Sus scrofa: one gene and its partners. The protein of the gene in region 1 purifies or fractionates together with the protein of each later gene. This does not show direct contact. Links are inferred from orthologs where the notes say so. Each region holds a gene or a part of one and is shown on either strand. Other genes may lie near its edges.

Region 1 (6,735 bases):
CTCGGGAGCGGCGTAAAGAAATAGCAAAAGACAAAAAAAAAAAAAAAAAAAAGAAAAGAAAAAAAAAGAACCTCTCCTTCTACATTCTGCCTGCCTCTTCCACTCTTCATTTCTGATCTACCACCAAGAAAATGCTTACAGATCTTGCCCATGGTTATGTATCAGAAAGGGCTCTAACTTATAGGGCAGGAAAAACAGCAAAAACTAGAGAAGAGCAGGACTAAGAATTCGTCCTCACAGAGGTCATCACTCCAGTGGCAGATGCGTGGAAAATGGGGGTAGAGCTAAACCGAGGGTAACCAACCACCACTGCCTCTGATTGCTATTACCTTGTCACAAATCCTGCCAGGCAAGATGTTAGAGTCACAACGTCGGGGCAATTGGAAGTGACAGATATGACCACGGTCTGTCAGCTTGTTACCCCTGGTACCGCATACTTGACTCATGAAACCAGGCGGCATGAAACCAAAAAAGGGGCAATGAAAGCAACAGGAGCTGAGGGGCCAGAGCCAGACGAAGATCAACAAGAGCAGGCAAATTCTGTTTCCAAAGGAGCACAAGGGGAGAGTGGTCTGAGGATTGAGGGTGTTCTTTTAAATACATCAACTTTCACCATCTCAACTGGCTGGGGAAGTTTTCCTGAGGATGGAACCAAGGCCCGTCTGGTTCCCAGGTCCATGTTCTCTTCCAGCCTGGGGTCCATGTTTGGCTAAGTAACTGCTGGGACCAGGGTGCAAATAGCAGCCCTGAGATTTTAAATCTTGTAGGATCTTCTCTGAGAGTGACGATTCATAGTTGGGACCAAACAGTATGGGCTTTGGAGTAAGGCAGGCCCAGTGCCAAGCCCAGCTCTGCCACTGGCTGATTGTATAGACTTCCAGGCAAATGGCTTAAGCTTTTGAACTTCAGTTTCTTTATCTGCAAAGTGGAGTTGTGAGGTTTAAATGTCAGAATCCCTTGCAAATACTTAACCTGCAGCCTGGCCTATAGCAAGGACTTGATAAATAACATCATTATCATCATCCCCATTATTACTATTATTATTATTATTATTATTATTATTATTATACTAGCGTGACTACCCATTGTTTGAGTGTTGGCAGCTGAAAACATTTGTGAATGAGAAGAGGACAGATACTAGGGCTGAAATTGTAAAAAAAATCCCAACCATCGGTTTCAAATACCAGCACCAGTCTCAGGACCTTGTCCATTACTCTCTGCTCTAAATGCCGTTAAAAAAGTGCCACCCTCCACCCAGCCCCCACCCTAGCCTCTCTGGGTCCTTACTGAAGGAAGTATAGTTTTCTAGCTCAAAACTTGAGATACATGGCCTGACAAGTATACCTAACAGACAGTGATAGAGAATACTTCAGTCTGGCTCTAGCTTAGTCATTCTAGAAAATGAGGCAAGAAGGACACCAAGGCATTTAAAGGGCCTAGAGCCCCTTCCTCCACAGTTCATGTCCCCACACTGCCCAGGGAGCCTGCACCTGTCTCCACAGTGCACTCCCCCCCCCCCCCCCCGTGAAGACAGTGAGGCCAGCGTGGTATTTAATAAGGAGGGGGGGGTAATAAGTATTATCAGCCATTGGCATCCTGGGGTGGACTATTTATCAAGACCCCTAAGAAGACTCCCAGTAAGGCCTTACAGGGGACGTGGCAAGGACAGTAACAGACTAGAAGCACCTAAACTGAAATGCTACCTGAATGTGAGGTCACCTGGGCCCCTGATGTGCAGAAATAGAGAAGAGAAATCAGTCAAGTGAGAGACGAGGTTGGTAGTGGTTCTGGTTCCTAATTTGATCTGACTGGCTTTGCCCTTGCGAATTTCAGGGCCAGGAGGTTTCCGAACTGCATCCCACTAGCTTGGGTCTGGGGCCAAGGGACTTGGCTGCCTCTTTTTCTTGAAATCCCCCCCTGAGGCCCAGCGTAGGGCTCTCCCCTACAAGCACATCACGTGCGTAGCCCAAGCTTTGCAAACCCAGCGGAGGCCCGCCGTCCTGGGCGCCAGGGTGGTTTTTAGGGTTTTCTCTATGATTTCCCTTCGTGTTCTTCACAGTTGATGATTTTCTGCAGAAAAACGGCTGAGAAAAAGAACCTATTTCATTTCCAGTTCCCATCACTGCGATTTCCACATGGATGTGACGTTGAGCCCTGCTTCCGAAATGCCCAGGTGACTCACGCGGGGACACCCCGGGGCGGGGCGCAGGAGTTTCTCGGGCGGAGGGCGGGGCGGCGGACGGGGCGGGGCGGCGGACGGGGCGGGGCGGGGCGGGGCGGGGCGGCACGCGGCTCGCCTCCTGCGCCTCCTGCGCCCCCTGCGCCCCCTGGCGGCGGGAGACCCAACAATGCTGCCATCCGCTCGGGCTCCGGGAGCCCGGCCCGGCGTCACGTGACTGGAAAGTCCCTGGGTGGAAATCCCCTGCTGTCCGCGGGCGGTAAAACAGAAAGGGAAAAAAGAGAACTGGCAGTCTGCAGCCTTAGTGGCGGCCAAGCGCTGCAAACTAGGAGGCCGCGGGGGCGGAGCGGCTCGAGCGGCTGTCCGGAGAACAGCCGCGGCGGCAGCTGGCGAGATCCACACCCCCGGCCGGCGGCCAGCAAGCGAGCCCCGAGCGGGGCGTCCATGGGGCGCCGCCTGCATCCGACCCCTACCGTGACCCCAGGCTGCGGCGCACGCCTGTCCTGACTTGGACTTGGGATTTCGGCAGCGGATCGCGCGGCCGGGAGAGGTAACCGCCGTATCCCCGCGCCGTCCGCCACGGGCATCCCGGGGCGAGAGCTGCGGGTGCGAATTGGGCAGCCACCCGCGGGGCTGGCCTGGTCGACCTGGCCCTGGGTTTGCAGCTGTCCCGGAGGGTAGTTTGTGGGCCGTTTGTGCCACTGTTGGTTCTGAACTGCTGGGAGTGGAGGTGGCCGCGCCAGATGTTGGAGTGACAGCATGGATTCCTCCAGCCAGCTGTTCCTTGCAGATAATGCGGAGAACTTGAATGGCAGCTGCCTGGGGAGCGTTGCCCTGGACCGCTTGGTCCGGGTTGTCGTTGGTGCTTTGCCCTTCGGCTTGTCTTTTTTTTTTTTTTTTTTTTTTTTTTGGAATCAAGCGCTGCATGCTTAAGGCCACGTAGACCTTGAGAACTGCTGTGGCCGCTTTCCAGTTTGTGCAGCACCAGCCCAAAGGAGTGGGAGGTCGCAGGGGCAGCAAAACTTGGGGGGTGGGGGTCAGGGGGGCCCAGACCGCTAAGCTTTCTGGGGACCGCTTGCAGACTCTCAGCAGCGTCAGAGAAGTATGTATGTAGCAGCGGGTCTTCGGCTTGCCTTTGGGGGGAGGGCGTGGGGGAGCTCCAGTTTAAAGCATCTGCAGGCCCCTACCCCCGAGTCAGACTGCCTTTGTCAGCCGGGGTCGTCCCACATCCTGCCACCTGGCCTTTCAGGAAAGCCGTAGTATTAAGTAAGGAAGGAGCTCAGCTCTTGTTGAGACCGCTTTGTTTTCAGTTCTCCCTGCCTCTGATCTTCTTTCCTTGGAAAGCTGCTCTGGTCAAGTGTCTCAGGGCCACCTTTTGGGAGAATCACTGTTTAAGAGTTCTCTGGACTACAGCCCCACTCTTCCAGATGGTTAAGCAGCCAGTTACTGCTTCATTCTCCGTGTCTAAGGTGTATCTTACTTTTTTTTTTTCCAATTCTTAATACAATTTTTGAATGAGGGGGGTACTTTCCAAAACTTCGATGGGGTGATTTGGATGAAAAAAGTCAGTGAAGGTAACAGAAGGGTGCAAGAAATGTTAAGGGCAGTATTGTTTATCTTTGCCTATAAGGACATTACAATCATAGCTCAGAAATTCTTTATCATGGGTCAGATTATTCTTTAATTATAAGTACGGAGAAGGCCAAGTTCTGGGCACTTGGGCAGTGAGTTTTGATTTCTTTTAAGGAGGCAATTCTGCAGGCCATTCGAGGTTGAACCAATGAATGAGATGACACTGGGCTATGAAATATTGACGTTTGCATGTCTGGCCTATGATTGCAGCTCTTACTATTTGAGAGCTTTGCTGAATGATCCTAGGTGCGGAAAATAATAGGAGAGTCTGAGAAGCAAAAAGAGGCAACACCTTGTTTCAGACCTTGCTCTTGCCTGTCTGTTCCCATGTGGGAGCAGCAGGCACTGCAACCACAGGTGTGGTGTTGTGAGCTGAGCAAGGGGGCAGGTGTTGGAAGACTTGGCTTCCAGGCAGAGCCCTGCCCCTGCATGACATGGGACCTACCTGAGCAGGACCAGTACTTGCGTTGCTGTAGCAAGAGACCTAGATGGTCATGAGATTTCAAGCCCAGGAAGAAGGGCGTCTTTGATCTTTAGCCTCAGCATCAAGCCTGGGTCTTGATGGTCAGGCAGTGGTCATATGTGGTCAGGTGGTGCTTGGTGAGTGATGGATGGACATGTGAATGACATCGTGAAAGCAACTTTTGCCATGCCACAGAGGGGAAGTGTGTGTGATGTTTTTGTCCCTTCTCTGTGTCTGTGGTCCTGCCATGATTTTGTTTAATTCCACCTGCAGAGAATGTCTGACATCAAAGGAGAGATTGCCATTTGACCCTGAGAATGACTTTTTCCGGGCTTCAACAGCTGTCAGATTAGGAATCCCGATCTAAATCTACCACCAGAAAACTCCTCAGAGGCAACCATGGGGTCATCCAAGCCACCTCTCCCCTTTGAGTGGCCCATGCTCACTTAGACCATTTTATCAAGGGTGCCTCCACCCACCCAGCACTGGCTCTCCTATAATCTAGGTTTTTTGCCTCCCTCTTAGGTTAGTTTAACTTCTATCTCAACTAGAGGCTTGCCCTGGCCAATGGTATGATGCAGGAGTGGGATTTGGGGGTTTGGGGGATGCAAACTGCTATATTTGGAATGGGTGGGCAGTGGGGTCCTACTGTACAGCACAGGGAAGTGTGTGTAATTGGGTCACTTTGCTCTGCAACACAACTTGATGAAATGTTGTAAATCAAGTCTACTTTAATAATAATGAAGGAAAAAAAAAAAAAGCAACTGCAGGGAAACTTCCTAGGGCCTCTGTAGATATTCTGAAACTGTCTTTGTCTTTCTCTTGGAAATCAGGATGGATGACAGGGCACCCTACTAAGGGTCAGTGACTGCAAGCTGGTGCTCCGCACTGCTCTGTGCTCTAGAGATCCCGCCTTATGTCAGTTCGCATCATTCCACATGGTTGCCTTGGGTTGGAAATGCTGGTTTTTGCCCTCCTTCTCTTTCATTTGTCCCGAGTGGCCCCTCTGTCTGAAACGTCTTTCTTGGTCTGCTTTCAGACTTTTATTTCTTTCCACCAGTGTATTGTGCTTGACAATATCAGGTGCAGACAGGGTGGAAAATGCATCTGAGGGTTGGTACCTGGAGGACGATAATAAAATTTGGTTGGCAGTTGAGTTGATGTAATTGAGCTCCACTATCTGCTCTTGGCAGTGTGGAATTTATCATTCTATTATTGCCATATTGTTATTATTAATTTCTTATTCTGATGTTGTAAAGTTCAATGGAGGGGTTCTGAAAGATGGCTGATGGCTCGTAAAATTGCAAAGCATCTTGCTGGAAATAGGCTTTTTTGTTGGTTGTAAAACATTCAGTTTAATGCTTTGTATGTTATAGTACATTTTATAAGTAAGCACTTTATAAGTATTTCTCTTTGGGACTGAAGAGGAAATTCTAATCAGCAGCCTAGGTGGCAGCATAAAATTGCAGGACTTTTTACAAAATATTTACTGCCTTTTGCAGTGGGGAGGTGGGGATGCGCTTAAAAGAGGCAAAGCAAGACTTTGCCTAAGAGCAGGGTTGCTTGGTGGTGCTCTTAGGAGAGAAAACAGGCTCGTCAGGACTCCGTTGTGCCTGTAACTGCATTCAGGGCTCCTAAAATCCAGTGGCTGCCCCAGAGCAGCATCGAAGTGAGATGGGAGCTTGGGTTGGTCACTAGACACAGTACCTGTTGCTGACAGACAGGCTTGGCTCCCTGACAGACGTTACTGAAAACACGGGTTATTCCCCTCCTCCTCAGTACCCACTCCCCGCCTTCCTTCTCTTGTTTAGACTAATCTTTAAAAGTGATGTAACTTACAACAGTCCAGTGTGAGTTAATCTGTGGGGCCAGCTAGTATCCTGGGAGCAGAGGTGACTAAGATCTTTTGCCTCTTGATTAGGGTAATGACAAGATCAAACACTGGGGTTTCCTGCAGGCAGGTATATAGGAGCCCTATCAAAGTCGAGCTAACGGAATGGGGTTTTCTTTCCCTCCTCTTCAGGCCTTGTAGAGCACCATGGCTGAGCAACTCCTTCCCCTGGCTTTGTATTTGAGCAACATGCGGAAGGCTGTGAAGATAAGAGAGAGAACTCCAGAAGATATTTTCAAACCTACCAATGGAATCATTCACCATTTTAAATCCATGCACCGATACACTCTGGAAATGTTCAGAACCTGCCAGTTTTGTCCGCAATTTCGGGAGATCATCCACAAAGCTCTCATCGACAGGAACATCCAGGCCTCCCTGGAAAGCCAGAAGAAGCTCAACTGGTGTCGAGAAGTGAGGAAGCTTGTGGCACTGAAAACGAATGGTAAGACTTGCTTTTGTCAGTGGGGTGGCTCCCAGGATGCAGGGTCCCATTCATTAAAAGGTGGTAGCTCTTATTTGAACCCAAGCTCAAATCTCTTGAGGCCATAGATAACCTTAGTAGAGAGGCTC
Region 2 (6,635 bases), on another chromosome or scaffold:
GCTCGTTTAATCTTCACATCAGTCCTCTGAGTTAGGTACTCTTATCCTCCGATTATAACTAAGATATTTGAAGTGTCTTCCTTGAGGTATATAATTTTGGACTGGATTCACACCCAGGTAGTCTGGCTGCACAGCCCATAGCATAATTTGACCTTCTCTGCTCTGCTGCCTCTTTCAACACCCGTGGTTATCAAATGAATTGAGGCTTTCTGCATGCTTTTCATTGGGGTCTCCCAGCCTTTTTAGGATCCCCAGCCTGATGTGGATGAGTGGAGGCCTGTGGGGGGAGGTGGGGCCATAGATTAGTTCACCGCCATGGTTTGTTATCCAGAATATTAAAGCCAGCTTCTCTCCAAAGAACCTCAGGGCAAAATGCTTGGAACCGGACCTGCCGCCGCCACCACAGCGACCACCACTTCCAGCAACGTGAGCGTCCTGCAGCAGTTTGCCAGTGGCCTGAAGAGCCGGAATGAGGAGACCAGGGCCAAAGCTGCCAAGGAACTCCAGCACTATGTCACCATGGAGCTCCGAGAGGTTGGAGCTGCTGCGGTTTGGGGCCCTTCATCATGGCCTTTTGGGGCTGCATGTGCCATTCCTGGTTTAGATGCCTCTTGACAGCTGATTGAGGGCTCAGAAAAGGCAAAGATTCTAGTTTAGAAAGGCACCCAATTTCTCAGGTCTGTAGAATGGGCAGGTTCCTTTGCCACAGTTCCACATTTCTGTGGCATTTCCTTTCTTGTGATAGTTTAGGAGTCAGAGTAGAATTGGCTGTTCCGGGAGTTCCTGTCATGGTGCAGCGGAAACGAATCCGACTAGGAACCATGAAGTTGCGGGTTCGATCCCTGGCCTCACTCAGTGGGTTAAGGAACCACGTTGCCATGAGCTGTGGTGTAGGTGGCAGACATGGCTCGGATCTGGCGTTGCTGTGGCTGTGGTGTAGGCAGCGGTTACAGCACTGGTTCAACCCCCAGCCTGGAAACTTCGTATGCCTCAGGTGTGGCCCTAAAAAGACAAAAAAAAAAAAAAAAAAAAAAAAGAAAGAAAGAAAGAAAGAAAGAAAAAGAATCGGCTGTTTCTTTTAATTTTTTTCTTTTTCATGCCACATTCCAGGCTTTTGAATCTTTCTGCCTGATAACATGGGTTGGGATGGGTTTGAAGAGTTGATTGCTTGGGGCTTTTCAAATAGAGGCCAGACCTGAGGTAGGGACAGTGTCTTTTTTGGCCTTGTACCCAGGCTACCAGGTAGAATCTAGGACAGGACATGGCCTCCCCTTGAGTAGATACACAGTAGGTATTGGTTAAGTAAACAGATGATTGCTCTACGGTTTAAAACAACAGAGATGGTCAGCGGCTGTGTCGTCTTCGGTTAACTGCACCTGCTGGCCACCTCTTGGGTTCTGGTCTTCGAAAGGCACCCCACGCCCCCACCAGCAGGGAACATTAGACATTGCCCTGAATACGTCTTCCTTTACAGATGAGTCAAGAGGAGTCTACTCGTTTCTATGATCAGCTGAACCATCACATTTTTGAACTGGTTTCCAGCTCAGATGCCAATGAGAGGAAAGGCGGCATCTTGGCCATAGGTAAGGACAGGGTCTCTGGCACAGTAAGAACTGGACATCCAGGACTGTGTCCTTTGTGTCCACTGCACTCCGTGTCTACTACTTACTGGATCCTCACTTCATATTTGTTTAATGAATTCTAAGGAGACTTGTGGCTTTCAGTTGCTTATTCGGCTATTAATTTTAACCACAGTCCTGGGCAAACCCAAGGGCAAAGAGGGTTTTTTTCAGACATGGAGCCTCAGAACCACTAAGCGACTTTTCCAGGGCTGGTGCGCCAGAGCTGAGGCTGGAAGTCAGCTTTCTTCCTGCTACCCTTGTTGCATTTTGCAGGCTCTTGTTTCTCTCTAGAGCCAAGTTTGGCAGAGCAGAGCTCAGAAATGGAAAAGTAGAGTTGAGGGGACTGTGAATAAAAGGCAGATAATTTCAGCTCATGGGGACTGGTTATCCATCCTGTGAATTATTATTCAGTCCTGGTTTGTTTTCCTTTTCTTCTTGGGAAACCTGTATATGCTAAAATATTAAGATGAGATCATTTTGCTTTATCTAAGTAGTTCTGGTCCAAACATTAAGTCTGTTTGTTAAAATGGAATGGAAATTATTTGCCTCCTCACCAGCTGGAAATTGCAGTCTGTGCTTAGAGTAGGAGGAAGGGGTCCCTCGCTAGCTTTCCTCTGAAGACAGTGGACCTCCGTGGACCGCACATGCCCGACTCATCCTCTGCCTTCCTCTCTTTGCCAGCCAGCCTCATAGGAGTGGAAGGCGGGAATGCCACCCGAATCGGAAGATTTGCCAACTATCTTCGGAACCTCCTCCCCTCCAATGACCCCGTTGTCATGGAAATGGCATCCAAGGCCATTGGTCGCCTCGCCATGGCAGGAGACACTTTTACTGCAGAGTATGTGGAGTTTGAGGTGAAGCGAGCCCTGGAGTGGCTGGGTGCTGACCGAAACGAGGGCCGGAGACACGCAGCTGTGAGTACCTGTGGAGCCGTGGCCTCGTGTCAGGTCCTTCCCACCATGTGCCCAGGTCCCTGAAAGGCAGAGAATGAGAGCGGATGCTCCGGGCAAAGGCCCTGTGCTTCTTGGTTCAGGGTCTGTCCCGAATCCCTTTCTCTCTTTACCCTGAGCTCCCCACCTGCAGAGGAAACTTAATGTTCTCTTTATTGCTTGAGAGGCAGCCCTCTGTGCAGTGCTTCTTCTCACCTTGACTTTCCAGAATCCAGATTGCCTCCCAAGGAGTTCCCTCATGGGAACAGCAGGTTAAGGATCCAGCGTTGTCGCTGCTACGGCTCTGGTTACAGCTATGGTGCAGGTTTCATCCCTGGTCCCCAGGAACTTTTGCATGCCATGGGTGCTGCCAAAAATGAATACATTTTTATTTATTTATTTATTTATTTTTGTCTTTTTGCTATTTCTTTGGGGCCGCTCCCACGGCATATGGAGGTTCCCAGGCTAGGGGTCGAATCGGAGCTGTAGCCACTGGCCTACACCAGAGCCACAGCAACGCGGGATCCGAGCCACGTCTGCAATCTACACCACAGCTCACGGCAACGCCGGATCGTTAACCCACTGAGCAAGGGCAGGGACCGAACCCGCAACCTCATGGTTCCTAGTCGGATTCATTAACCACTGCGCCACGATGGGAACTCCTATGAATACATTTTTAAAAAAGAGAGAAATAAAAATGCCTGTCAAGCAGAAGGCAGCCCTCAGCCATAGACAAGTGAGGAAGCCACAAGCCATGAGGCTTCCAGAGCCTCAGCAGCTGTGCTGTCCTCAGGACCCCTCCGTCCAGGGCTCCACGTTGGTGGGAACGTGGGGAGCGGGGCTGAAGGGAGGAAGGAGCAGAGGAAGTTGGTGCCCGATCCCCACATTCCCTGGTCCGCCTCTGCCCAGGCCTTGCCCATCTGCGTTTCGGTCCTTTGTTGATTGGTTGGTACGTGGTCCAGACTTCCTCTTTCCAGCAGGCTGTCCTGCATTGGAGGGAGTGGTGGCTTTCCAGCCTCTTCTACACACACATCCTCATTGCTCTCTGAGGCCCGTCCCTGAAAAAGGCTGCTTTGATGGGCTAGGGATCCAGGCTGTGAGATGGGGGAGGATCTGTCCATGGGAGAGAAGCTAGGAATGAATGTGGTGGGAAGGCATCAGCTGGGTCCCTTCCAGTCGGGTCCCTCGTTAGGGGGCTGCCCCAGGAGCAGGGAGCCTGCCTGGGGGAGGGGCCCGCACTCGGACTCGGGTGCCACCTCCTAACTGTGACGTGGGGCACGCTGGGACCCTCAGTTTTTCCATGGTCAAATGAAAATATAGCAAGATGAAATGTGAAACAGGATTATCGTTCATTCCGTAAATGTTTCTTGAATACCTGCTCTATTCCGGGCATGTTCCAGGCTGTCCACGGAGCAGTGTACAAAGCATTAAAGGCGGCTCCTTTCAGCGCTCGTGTTCTAAGGCCACATGCCTTCTGTTGCTAAGCACCCTGGGACAGTGAACCCTGAGATGTCTGATAGCTTTACTTCCCTTCCTTGGTCCCCAGAATTTCCGAGCTAGAAGAGTAGGCAGGTGTGCTCTTTTCCTAGCAGATGTCGGCTCTGGGGTGACACGAGGCTGTACCCCTGAGAGACTAGACCTCGTTGATGCAGATGGAAGGTCTCCGTGTGTCTCTCCTCCCAGGTCCTGGTCCTTCGTGAGCTGGCCGTCAGCGTCCCCACCTTCTTCTTCCAGCAAGTGCAGCCCTTCTTTGACAACATTTTTGTGGCTGTGTGGGACCCCAAACAGGCCATCCGGGAGGGAGCTGTCGCCGCGCTCCGTGCCTGTCTGATCCTCACCACCCAGCGAGAGCCAAAGGAGATGCAGAAGCCGCAGTGGTACAGGGTGAGGAGACGGATCCATTCCAGTCACCAGCCCAGCACGTTTGCCTGGAGGCACACCGAGCCCGAGGAGCAGCAGCAGGCCCCTTGCCACAGAGCAAGCGTCATGTCTGTTTTGGTCTTCAGTAATTTTTTATGCGCAATATGAATGAATAGTTATTTTATTTTATTTATTTATTTTTTCTTGTCTTTTTTAGGGCTGCTCCTGCGGCATATGGAGGTTCCCAGGCCAGAGGTCCAATTGGAGCTGTTGCTGCCAGCCTATGCCAGAGCCACAGCAACGCCAGATCCGAGCCATGTCTGCGGCGTACACCACAACACCCGATCCTTAACCCCTGAGCTAGACCAGGGATCAAACCTGCAATGTCACGGTTCCTGGTCGGATTCGTTTCTGCTGCACCACGACGGGCACTCCAGTTTTTTGTCTCTTGAGTAGAGATGGTTATGATGTCTGCCTCGCGGTATTGCGAGGGCTGACGCCAAAGGAAATGAGGGAGCTCCATGAGCTGACACCATTGGTGACGCTGGCACGGGGCCCCAAGCAGCCACAGCGACCTCAGGACCCCGTGTGGCTGGGTGGGCCTGCTCTCCCGCTCTGGGCAGTGGGTGACTCGGGCATTCTGGGTCTCCCCGTAGCACACGTTCGAAGAAGCAGAGAAAGGGTTTGACGAGACCTTGGCCAAGGAGAAGGGCATGAACCGGGACGACCGGATCCACGGAGCCTTGCTGATCCTCAACGAGCTGGTCCGCATCAGCAGCATGGAGGGAGAGGTGAGTCACGCGGCGGGGCCGGGCCTGGGCCGCCCCGCGCCGCTGTGCCAGCGCCTCGGAGAGCCGCCGTGCTGTGGGGGGAGCAGGCAGAAGACCAGCCGGTGCGATCGGTGCGATCGTGTTGGACGGTGGCGCGTTCTGGGAAGAAATGAAGTGGAGGGTCTCGGGGAGAGGGCGCGGCTCCCTGCCTGGGGGGTGGCATTTGGGCCAAGACCATGTGACGTGGAGGACTGGCCTCACAGCGCACGCGCGCGAGGGCAGGGAGATCACTGTCTTCCAGGCAGAGGCTTTGAGCTGGAAGAGAGTTTGACACGTTCAAGAAAGAAGGGCCGTGGGGCTGGTGCACCCAGCATAGGAGAGGGAGGGGGCCCGGGGTCGGGGGCCTCCTGGCTCCTGGTCGACGCTGGGTCTCGTGCTCCTCGCCGAGAGACTCGCCCAGAGGATGCTGTGACGGCGGCTGTTTTTAACGGTCATCGGCTCCTTGCGGGGAAGGGCCCGTGGAGAGGCAGGCAGGGAAGCAGGGAGGTGAGTGAGGAGCTCTCTTGGCTGGAAAAGCAGCTGCAAAGATGGGTTTACAGGTGCAAGGGCTGTGTTAGGGAACTGGCCCGAGACAAGTCGGGGCGGGGTGTGGGAGAGGCTGGGAGAACCATCCGACTCCAGTGCGCATCGGACCCTGAGTCTGCAGGAGAGGGAAGCAAGGTTGGCCGGAAGCCTCTCAGTCCACCCTGCAAAGCCATCGTAGGGTCCTGAGTGAGGGCGGAGCCCCTGGGAGGTGGGCTCAGAGGAGTACCGCCGCCAGGGCCAGGGCTCGTCCGGGAGGGTCTCAGAAGCTCCTGCACAGCCTCTGCGTGAAGGGGGAAGGTCGTAGTGGCTGTGAGCAAAATGGGATGTCATCTGACTCGGGTTTCTCAAGGCTCGCTGTTCTGTTGGAGGTGGATCATGGAGGGGTCAGGGCTGAGGCCAGGAGGCTAGTTAGGAGGGAACTGCAGCGGTTTCAGCAGAGGGCTTTGTGGCTTGGACCAGAGCAGGAGCTGTGGGGATGCAGGGAGCAGCTGGGTTCTGCATTTGGAAAGTCAGTGGGAGAGAAAGAAGGTCAAGGTTTAGGGCCCGAGCAGCTGGAAGGATAGAGCTGCCGTTTACTGAGATGGGACAGACAGGTTCAGGGTAGCAGGTCAGGAGTCTGCCTCTGAACGCGTCAGGTTCAAGGTGGCTGTTGGGAGTCTGAGCAGCAGTACTGAGTAGTTTGGGGAGAGATCTGAGCGAGAGATTCGGATTCGGGTGCCGTTGGCCTATAGACAGTATATGGATGAGAACCCTGGGGAACTAGGTTGGGGGAGGGGAGACGGGCTCGGGAACCTGAGGTCAGGGAATGAGGGGGGATCCAAGGGAGAGCGGGAAAGAGCAGCAGGGCCGGGGGCGGTGCCGGGAAAACT
Region 3 (6,735 bases), on another chromosome or scaffold:
CTCTGCCTGTATCTTCACTGCTCTCCCTCCTCCCTGCTCACCTCCACTGGCAACCCCATGGCCCCTCACTCTTCTTGGAACGGGACAAAAGCTCTGTGCAGAGCCCGATCCCCCTCCTTGCCCACCCTAGGCCGCACTCCAGGACATCCGCCTAGGCCGGTACCCGCTGATTCAATTCTGTGCCGGCTCCTTCTCATCCTGGGGGTCCTGCAGCTGGGGGTCCCGATCCCTCTGGTCACACTCCTGTTTCTCCTTCTTAGCCCCGTATTTGTTTTCTTTTTCTTTTCCTTTCTTCTTTTTTGCTGCACCTGCAGCATATGGAATTTCTTGGGCCAGGGATTGAATTTGGGCCACGGCTGCAACCTGTGCCACAGGCATGGCAACACCAGATCTTTAACCTGCTATGCCACAGCAGGTACTCTCCCTTATTAAATGATTTTTATTTTTACCTCTTTCCTTTCCAACAAAAAGTTTCCTGATTTTGTAATTTTTTTGGAAAGGAGGTCTGTCTCCACCATTAGAATTTTTGCCCATGAATACCCCATGCCTGACTCAGCCCGGATTTTAGCTGAAGATATGAGCGGGTGGGGTACTTCCTCTGTTAACTTGAATCTGCACAACACCTGTGAGGCACTTGCTGTTGGAATTCTGCCAGCCCTCGTCCACAATTCAGGAATCCAAAAATCTCAGAAACCCAAATGTTTTTCTTAAACTGGTTGTTTAAGAAATCTGAATTGAACAGCTCTAAGGCTTTTCATGATCTTTATCTCAGTTTGAATGGTCATCTTATCTATTTATTTAAATTTTTTTTTTTTTTTTTTGCCTTTTCTAGGGCCGCTCCTGCGGCATATGGAGGTTCCCAGGCTAGGGGTCCAATCGGAGCTGCAGCCACCGGCCTACACCACAGCCACAGCAACGCCGGATCCTTAACCCACTGAGCAAGGCCGGGAATTGAACCCGTAACCTCATGGTTCCTAGTTGCATTTGTTCACCACTGAGCCATGACGGGAACTCCTTTTTTTTTTTTTTTTTGTCTTTTTAAGGCCACACCTGCAGTATATGGAAGTTCCCAGGTTAGGGGTCGAATTGGAGTTGCAGCTGCCAGTCTACACCGCAGCCACAGCAACTCGGGATCTGAGCCTCGTCTATGACCTACACCACAGCTCACGGCAACGCTGGATCCTTAACCACGGAGCGAGACCAGGGATTGAACCCGTGTCCTCATGGATACTAGTCAGGTTTGTTTCCGCTGCCCTACAACAGGAACTCCCGGACAACTTCTACATGTCAGGAATTTGGGTGGCTCTGGCTCAGGGACTCCCATGAGGCCCAGGCAAGGTGTTGGTAGGATGGAGGATATCCTCCCAAGGTGGGCCATTTACTCTTGTGGGTGAGTCGATGCTGGCTGTTGGCACGAAGCTGCATGTCTTCATCACATGGGCCTCTTCACAGGGCTACCTGAGTGTCTTCATGACGTGGCGGGGGGCTTCCTCGGAGCGAGTGATCTAAGAGAGGCCAAGGTAGTAGCTACACGGCCTCTAGTGACCTAGCTGGAGAAACACCATGACTTCTGCAGCATCTTCCTGCTTGCACAGGGCAGCCCTATTCAGAGTGTCAGAGGTGAAATCACAAGAGTGAACACCGCGAGTGGGATTCTTTTTGGATGCTGGCCACCCCGATGATACACAACCTATCTCAAATCCAAAGGTTCTCAATTTCAAAGTACCTGTGACCCCCAGAATGTTACATGAGACACTGGGAGCCTCTTCTACAGGTGAGAACCAGACAGCTGAGCGGCCTGTGGAAGGTTACACTTAGAGCAGTGGAGACCCGCCCGGCTCTGATGCCAGCGCCAGCTGGTTTTCTCCATCACTCCTTGAGTCGACAAGAACGTGTCTTTCCTGACCTCAGCCACGTGGACGGCGGGCTTGCAGGGGCAGGTGCTGCAAATTCCATCCTCTAGTCACACAACACGCCTGTGGGTTGGAAGGAGCCACTGGACGCGATGTCTCTCTGCAATGGAGGACGTTTGTCCATCTCTCCATCTGTCTGTCTGTCTGATTCTGCAGGCTGGTGAGTGCTTTCCCTGGGCTCAGCCCAAGCTTGGGCAGGGATTACAAAAAACACACCATGCTGCTCTCAGGGGGCAGGGCGAGGAGGGGAGTGCAAGCAGTAGGGCAGGGACCTGCAGAGGATTCAGTGTGGGAGGGCAGGGGGGCGCTTTGAAAGACCACAGGTGTGGTTGGGCATCATGGTGGAGCAAACTCAGACTTTGAAAAAAAACAGCTGCAGAGTCACGGAAAAATCTTCAGGATTGGTCTGGGCAGTTGGGGGGAAGGAAAAGAATGGAGAAATAGGGCAGGAAAGAGGGCGGATGCAGGGTCTAGAGTCCTGCTCTGGGCACTGCCCTGTGCCCTGGTGGGTAGGGCACCTCGCTGGGCTCAACTCCTGAAAGTCGCCCTTTTCCTATTGCCCGACGTGGCCAACCCGCCTGCAGCCCGGGGATTTGGACCCAACTTCAGGGTTAATCCTTGGGGTCGTCTTTGAACCAGGGCCCCAGCAGCGACCTGAACCACTGCAGTGACGACATGGGATCCAACCCGTCGAGCCACACAGGAATTCCTGGCTCCTGTCCCTTCCATCAGTAGCTACATCAGAGACCGCTCAACCCCTCTCCTCAACCGAGCGTACTCTCCAAAAACTGCCCCCACGCGGGGCGACTGGGCGGCTGGGACAGGCGAGGCACCCCCGGGTGGACGGAGGCGGAATGGGGACGGGCGGGGCCCAGCGCTGGGCGGGGGCGGGGCCCAGCGCTGGGCGGGGGCGGGGGCGGGGGCGGGGCCCAGCGCTGGGCGGGGGCGGGGCCTGGACGCGCGGCGCGGGGCGGGGCCCGGGGGTTCCGCGGGGGGGCGGGGCGCGCCGGGAAAAGTTCCGGGAAGGGGGGCCGCCCGCCCAGACCCGGCGCGGAAGTTGCCGGCGGGCGCGCGTCTTCCCGGACAGGCCCGTAGCCATGTCGTCCGGGGGCGCGGGGTCGGGCGGGCCGGAGGGGGCCCCTCGCGCGGCTGCCGCGCTCTGCGGCCTGTACCACGAGGCCGGGCAGCGGCTGAGGCGCCTGCAGGACCAGCTGGCCGCTCGGGACGCCCTCATCGCGCGCCTGCGCGCCCGTCTGGCGGCGCTTGAGGGGGACGCGGCGCCGTCGCTCGTGGACGCGCTGCTGGAGCAGGTGGCGCGCTTCCGAGAGCAGCTCCGGCAGCAGGACGGCGGCGCCGCGGAGGCCGCGCTGCGCCAGGTGCGGAGCCGAGTGGGCGGGGGCCGCGTGCGGCTGGCGGAGCTCGGGTGGGCAGGCCGGGTCGGCGCTGCGCCGCGGGCGGGCGTCGGCGGGTGGCCCCTGAGGGGCGTGCGCGCTGGGGGCCCGGAGGGGTCGCTGGGCTCTCGGGTGTGGGCTGCTAGCCGGGGTCTGGGCGCCCTGTGTGCCGGCGGTCAGGCTGCGGGGTGCGTGTGAGCGTCTGCGGGCTGTCGCCGTGTTGGGTCTGGAGGGTGTAAGTGTAGCTGCTGAGGGGCGCGCGTGTCCCTGTCGGTGCTGAGGGGGCGCGCGTGTCCCTGTCGGTGCTGAGGGGGCGCGCGTGTCCCTGTCGGTGCTGAGGGGCGCGCGTGTCCCTGTCGGTGCTGAGGGGGCGCGCGTGTCCCTGTCGGTGCTGAGGGGGCGCGCGTGTCCCTGTCGGTGCTGAGGGGGCGCGTGTCCCTGTCGGTGCTGAGGGGCGCGCGTGTCCCTGTCGGTGCTGAGGGGCGTGCTCCATGTTGGGTCTGAGGCGTGTGTGTCGAGGTGGTTCTCAGGGATGTGTGTTCATGTCAGCGTCTGCGGTGTTACCGCGTTGGGTCTGAGGTGCGTGTACGTCTTGGTTCTGGCATTGTGAGCCTGTCTTAGGTTCTGAGGGGTGTGCTCCCGTAGTGGGTCTTAGGGCGTGGGCCCTTTTTGTGTCTGAGGGTTGTGTGTCTGTGTTGATGCTGGCTGTATTTATTCCTGTGGGGTCTGAGGTGTGTGTGTGCCCCTGTGTAGAGTCTCGGGGCTGTCTGCTCCCCTCGTGGGTTCCGAAGTTGTGTTGAGGGATCTGTGTGAATGTGTTGCTTCTGAGGGTTATGTGCTCATTTTGGTTTTGAAGGTTGTGTGCTTATATTGTGTCTGAGGGTTATGTGTGCTCCTTTTGGTTCTAAGGGGTATGTTTTCATGTTGCTTTTGAGGTGTGTATGTGCGTGTTGGTGTCTGAGGAATATGTGTGTGTTTCGCTAGGGTCTGTAGGTGATGGGTCTGTGTTTGAGGGGTTTGTGCCTGTATTGGATTCTGATAGTTGTGTGTTCATGGTGGCTCTGAGGGATGTGTGTCCTTGTTGGCATAGTTGAGTTGTGAGTGATGTGTGCCCATTTTGGGTGTAAAAGGTGTTTGTCCATATTGGTTCTGAGGCATGTGCGTGCCTATGTTGGATCTGAGGTGTGTGTCCTCATGTTGGATCTGAGATTTGTGCATCCTTGATGGGTTGAGGAAAGTGCCCATGTTGGTTCTTAGGAGTCCTTGTTGGTTTTCAGGAGTGTGTGTGCCCATGTTGGTCTGAGGGTTATGAGTCTGAGTAGTGTGTCTGTGTTAGGTGTGAGGGGTGTGTTTGTGTTGGTTCTGAAGTACATCTGCATGTGTTGGGTTTGGAGTGTGTATTTCCATATGGGTCTGAGGGGAGTGTATGCTGGTTTCTGAAGGATATATGCCTCCGTTTTGTGTTCTGAGTGGTGTGTGTGTGCGTGCGTGCGTGCGTGCCTGTTTTGAGTTCTGAGTAATATGTGTGCCCATTTGGGCTCTGAGAGATGTGTATGTGTGTTGGTTCTGAAGGTTGTCTATCCGTGGTTTTGAGGATTGTGTGTATGCCAGTGTTGAATCTTGCAGTTGTGTACCAGTTGAATTCAGGGGGGTCTGCTCCCATGTTGGGTGTGAGGGGAATGTGTGCCTGTGTTGGGTTTGAAGGGTGTGTGTCCATGTTGGGTTGTGGGTTGTGTGTGCTTCTGTGGTATATGAGATGTGTATGCCCTTATGTTGGGTTCTGAGGGGTGTGTTCACCTGTGTTGGGTTTTGAGTTTGTGCTCATTTGGATTGTGAAGGATGTATATGCGTGTTTAGTTCTCAGGGGTCTGTTGCTGTGCTGGGTTTTGAAGAGTGTGAGTGCCCATATTGGGCTCTCAGGGGGGTGTGTGTGTATCCATGCTGGGTGTGAGAGGTGTGTGTCTGTGTTGGGCCTTAGGGATGACTGTGCATGTTATTTGTATTTGTGCACAAGGAAGTTTCTGTGTGTGTGTTCATGTTGAGTTCTCCTTTGTGTGTATAGACATTGGGCCTGGGCACTGGGTTCAGGGCCTGTGAACCCTAGTTGTGTTCTGGGGTGTCTTTTAGCCCTGGTCATGAATGTATTTTTCAATAGTAACACATCTCTTCTGCTGGGAGTGATGACAGAGTGGGGGCCTGCCAGTGTCTGATGATAGACTTAGGTCCTTACTTTCTCTCCTTCTTATCCTTGTTACTGATATTATGTTATATGATATTGAAATACCACAAACACTCAGGTCAGGAGCAAGAGTAACAGTATTTTGCTGTAACAGCTATTTGGAAGTGCCCCAGACATTTTTGGTGAACTCTGGTCTGTTATCCCATTTAGCCCAGAGCTATTATCCAGGTTTTCCCAGTACAGAAGCTAGGCCTGCAAAGGGAATAGTCTGCAAAAGATAATTTTCACTTCCAGGTTTGGCCCTGCAGTCAAATTTTACATTGAAAAAGAAACATACCTATTTTTCTTTTTACAAAAGTAATTCTTTTCTTCCTTTCTTTTTTTTTTTAAATGACTGCAGGGATTGAATGAGCCATAGCTGTGACCTACATTGTAGCTGTGGCTCCGCTGGATCCTTTAACCCACTCTGCCAAGCTAAGGATCAAGCCTGCGCCTCCATAGTGACCCAAGCTGCCGCAGTTGGTTTCTTAGCCCACTGTGCAACAGTGGGAACTCCATGAAAGAAATTTTGTTTATCTGAAAAATAGAGGAAAGCATAAAGAGGAGTTCCTGTTGTGGCTCAGTGGTAACAAACCCAACTAGTATCCATGAGGATGTCGGTTTGATCCCTGGCCTCACTCAGTGGTTTAAGGATCCAGCGTCACTGTGAGCTGTGGTGTAGGTCACAGACGTGGCTCAGATCCTCTGTTGCTGTGGCTGTGGTGTAGGCTAGCAGTTGCACCTCTGATTTGATCCCTAGCCTGGGAACTGCCATATGCTGCAAGGGTGGCTCTAAAAAGACAAAAAAAAAAAAAAAAAAAAAAAAAAGAAAAAGAAAAAAGAAAAAAAGGAAAGAAAGAAAGAAAAAAGAATAAAGACAAAAAGAATAAAACAACCACCGTAATCCCACCATGGAGGACAACCAGCATTAACCTCTTGGCATGCCTCTTTCCTGTTAGTCCTTTAAATATAGGGTATGTAAACACTTGGCATGGTTGAATTTGTGCTGTCTATGCAGTTTTACTTAATATCATGTCACTATTTTATTTATTTATTTTTTCTGGCCGTGCTGCAGCTTGATGTGGGATCTCAGTTCCCACCAGGGATCGAACCTGGGCCACAGCTTTGAAAGCACTGTTTTAACCACCGTATCACCAGGGCACTCCAGTATTTTCTTATATGCATCATTTTAAATGCCTTCAGAAGCCAGATG

The links.
Region 2: the proteins of TNFAIP3 (region 1) and MTOR purify together in Homo sapiens (affinity purification with western blotting, with the first as the bait; 3 studies listed by BioGRID). This does not show direct contact. The link is inferred for Sus scrofa from reciprocal best matches to the Homo sapiens genes TNFAIP3 and MTOR.
Region 3: the proteins of TNFAIP3 (region 1) and TNIP2 purify together in Homo sapiens (affinity purification with western blotting; 5 studies listed by BioGRID and IntAct, with this or other methods). This does not show direct contact. The link is inferred for Sus scrofa from reciprocal best matches to the Homo sapiens genes TNFAIP3 and TNIP2.

Annotation. Positions count from the first base shown.
Region 1 is NC_010443.5:26,485,415-26,492,149, reverse strand, and holds the start of TNFAIP3 (tumor necrosis factor alpha-induced protein 3), read left to right. Parts: upstream 1-2,378; 5' UTR 2,379-2,729; intron 2,730-2,742; exon of another isoform or gene 2,743-6,196; intron 6,197-6,297; 5' UTR 6,298-6,312; coding exon 6,313-6,607; intron 6,608-6,735. UniProt on the Homo sapiens protein: Ubiquitin-editing enzyme that contains both ubiquitin ligase and deubiquitinase activities.
Region 2 is NC_010448.4:71,404,240-71,410,874, reverse strand, and holds part of MTOR (serine/threonine-protein kinase mTOR), read left to right. Parts: intron 1-358; 5' UTR 359-372; coding exon 373-534; intron 535-1,474; coding exon 1,475-1,583; intron 1,584-2,303; coding exon 2,304-2,536; intron 2,537-4,234; coding exon 4,235-4,435; intron 4,436-5,067; coding exon 5,068-5,202; intron 5,203-6,635. UniProt on the Homo sapiens protein: Serine/threonine protein kinase which is a central regulator of cellular metabolism, growth and survival in response to hormones, growth factors, nutrients, energy and stress signals.
Region 3 is NC_010450.4:1,550,846-1,557,580, reverse strand, and holds the start of TNIP2 (TNFAIP3-interacting protein 2), read left to right. Parts: upstream 1-2,903; 5' UTR 2,904-3,010; coding exon 3,011-3,289; intron 3,290-6,735. UniProt on the Homo sapiens protein: Inhibits NF-kappa-B activation by blocking the interaction of RIPK1 with its downstream effector NEMO/IKBKG.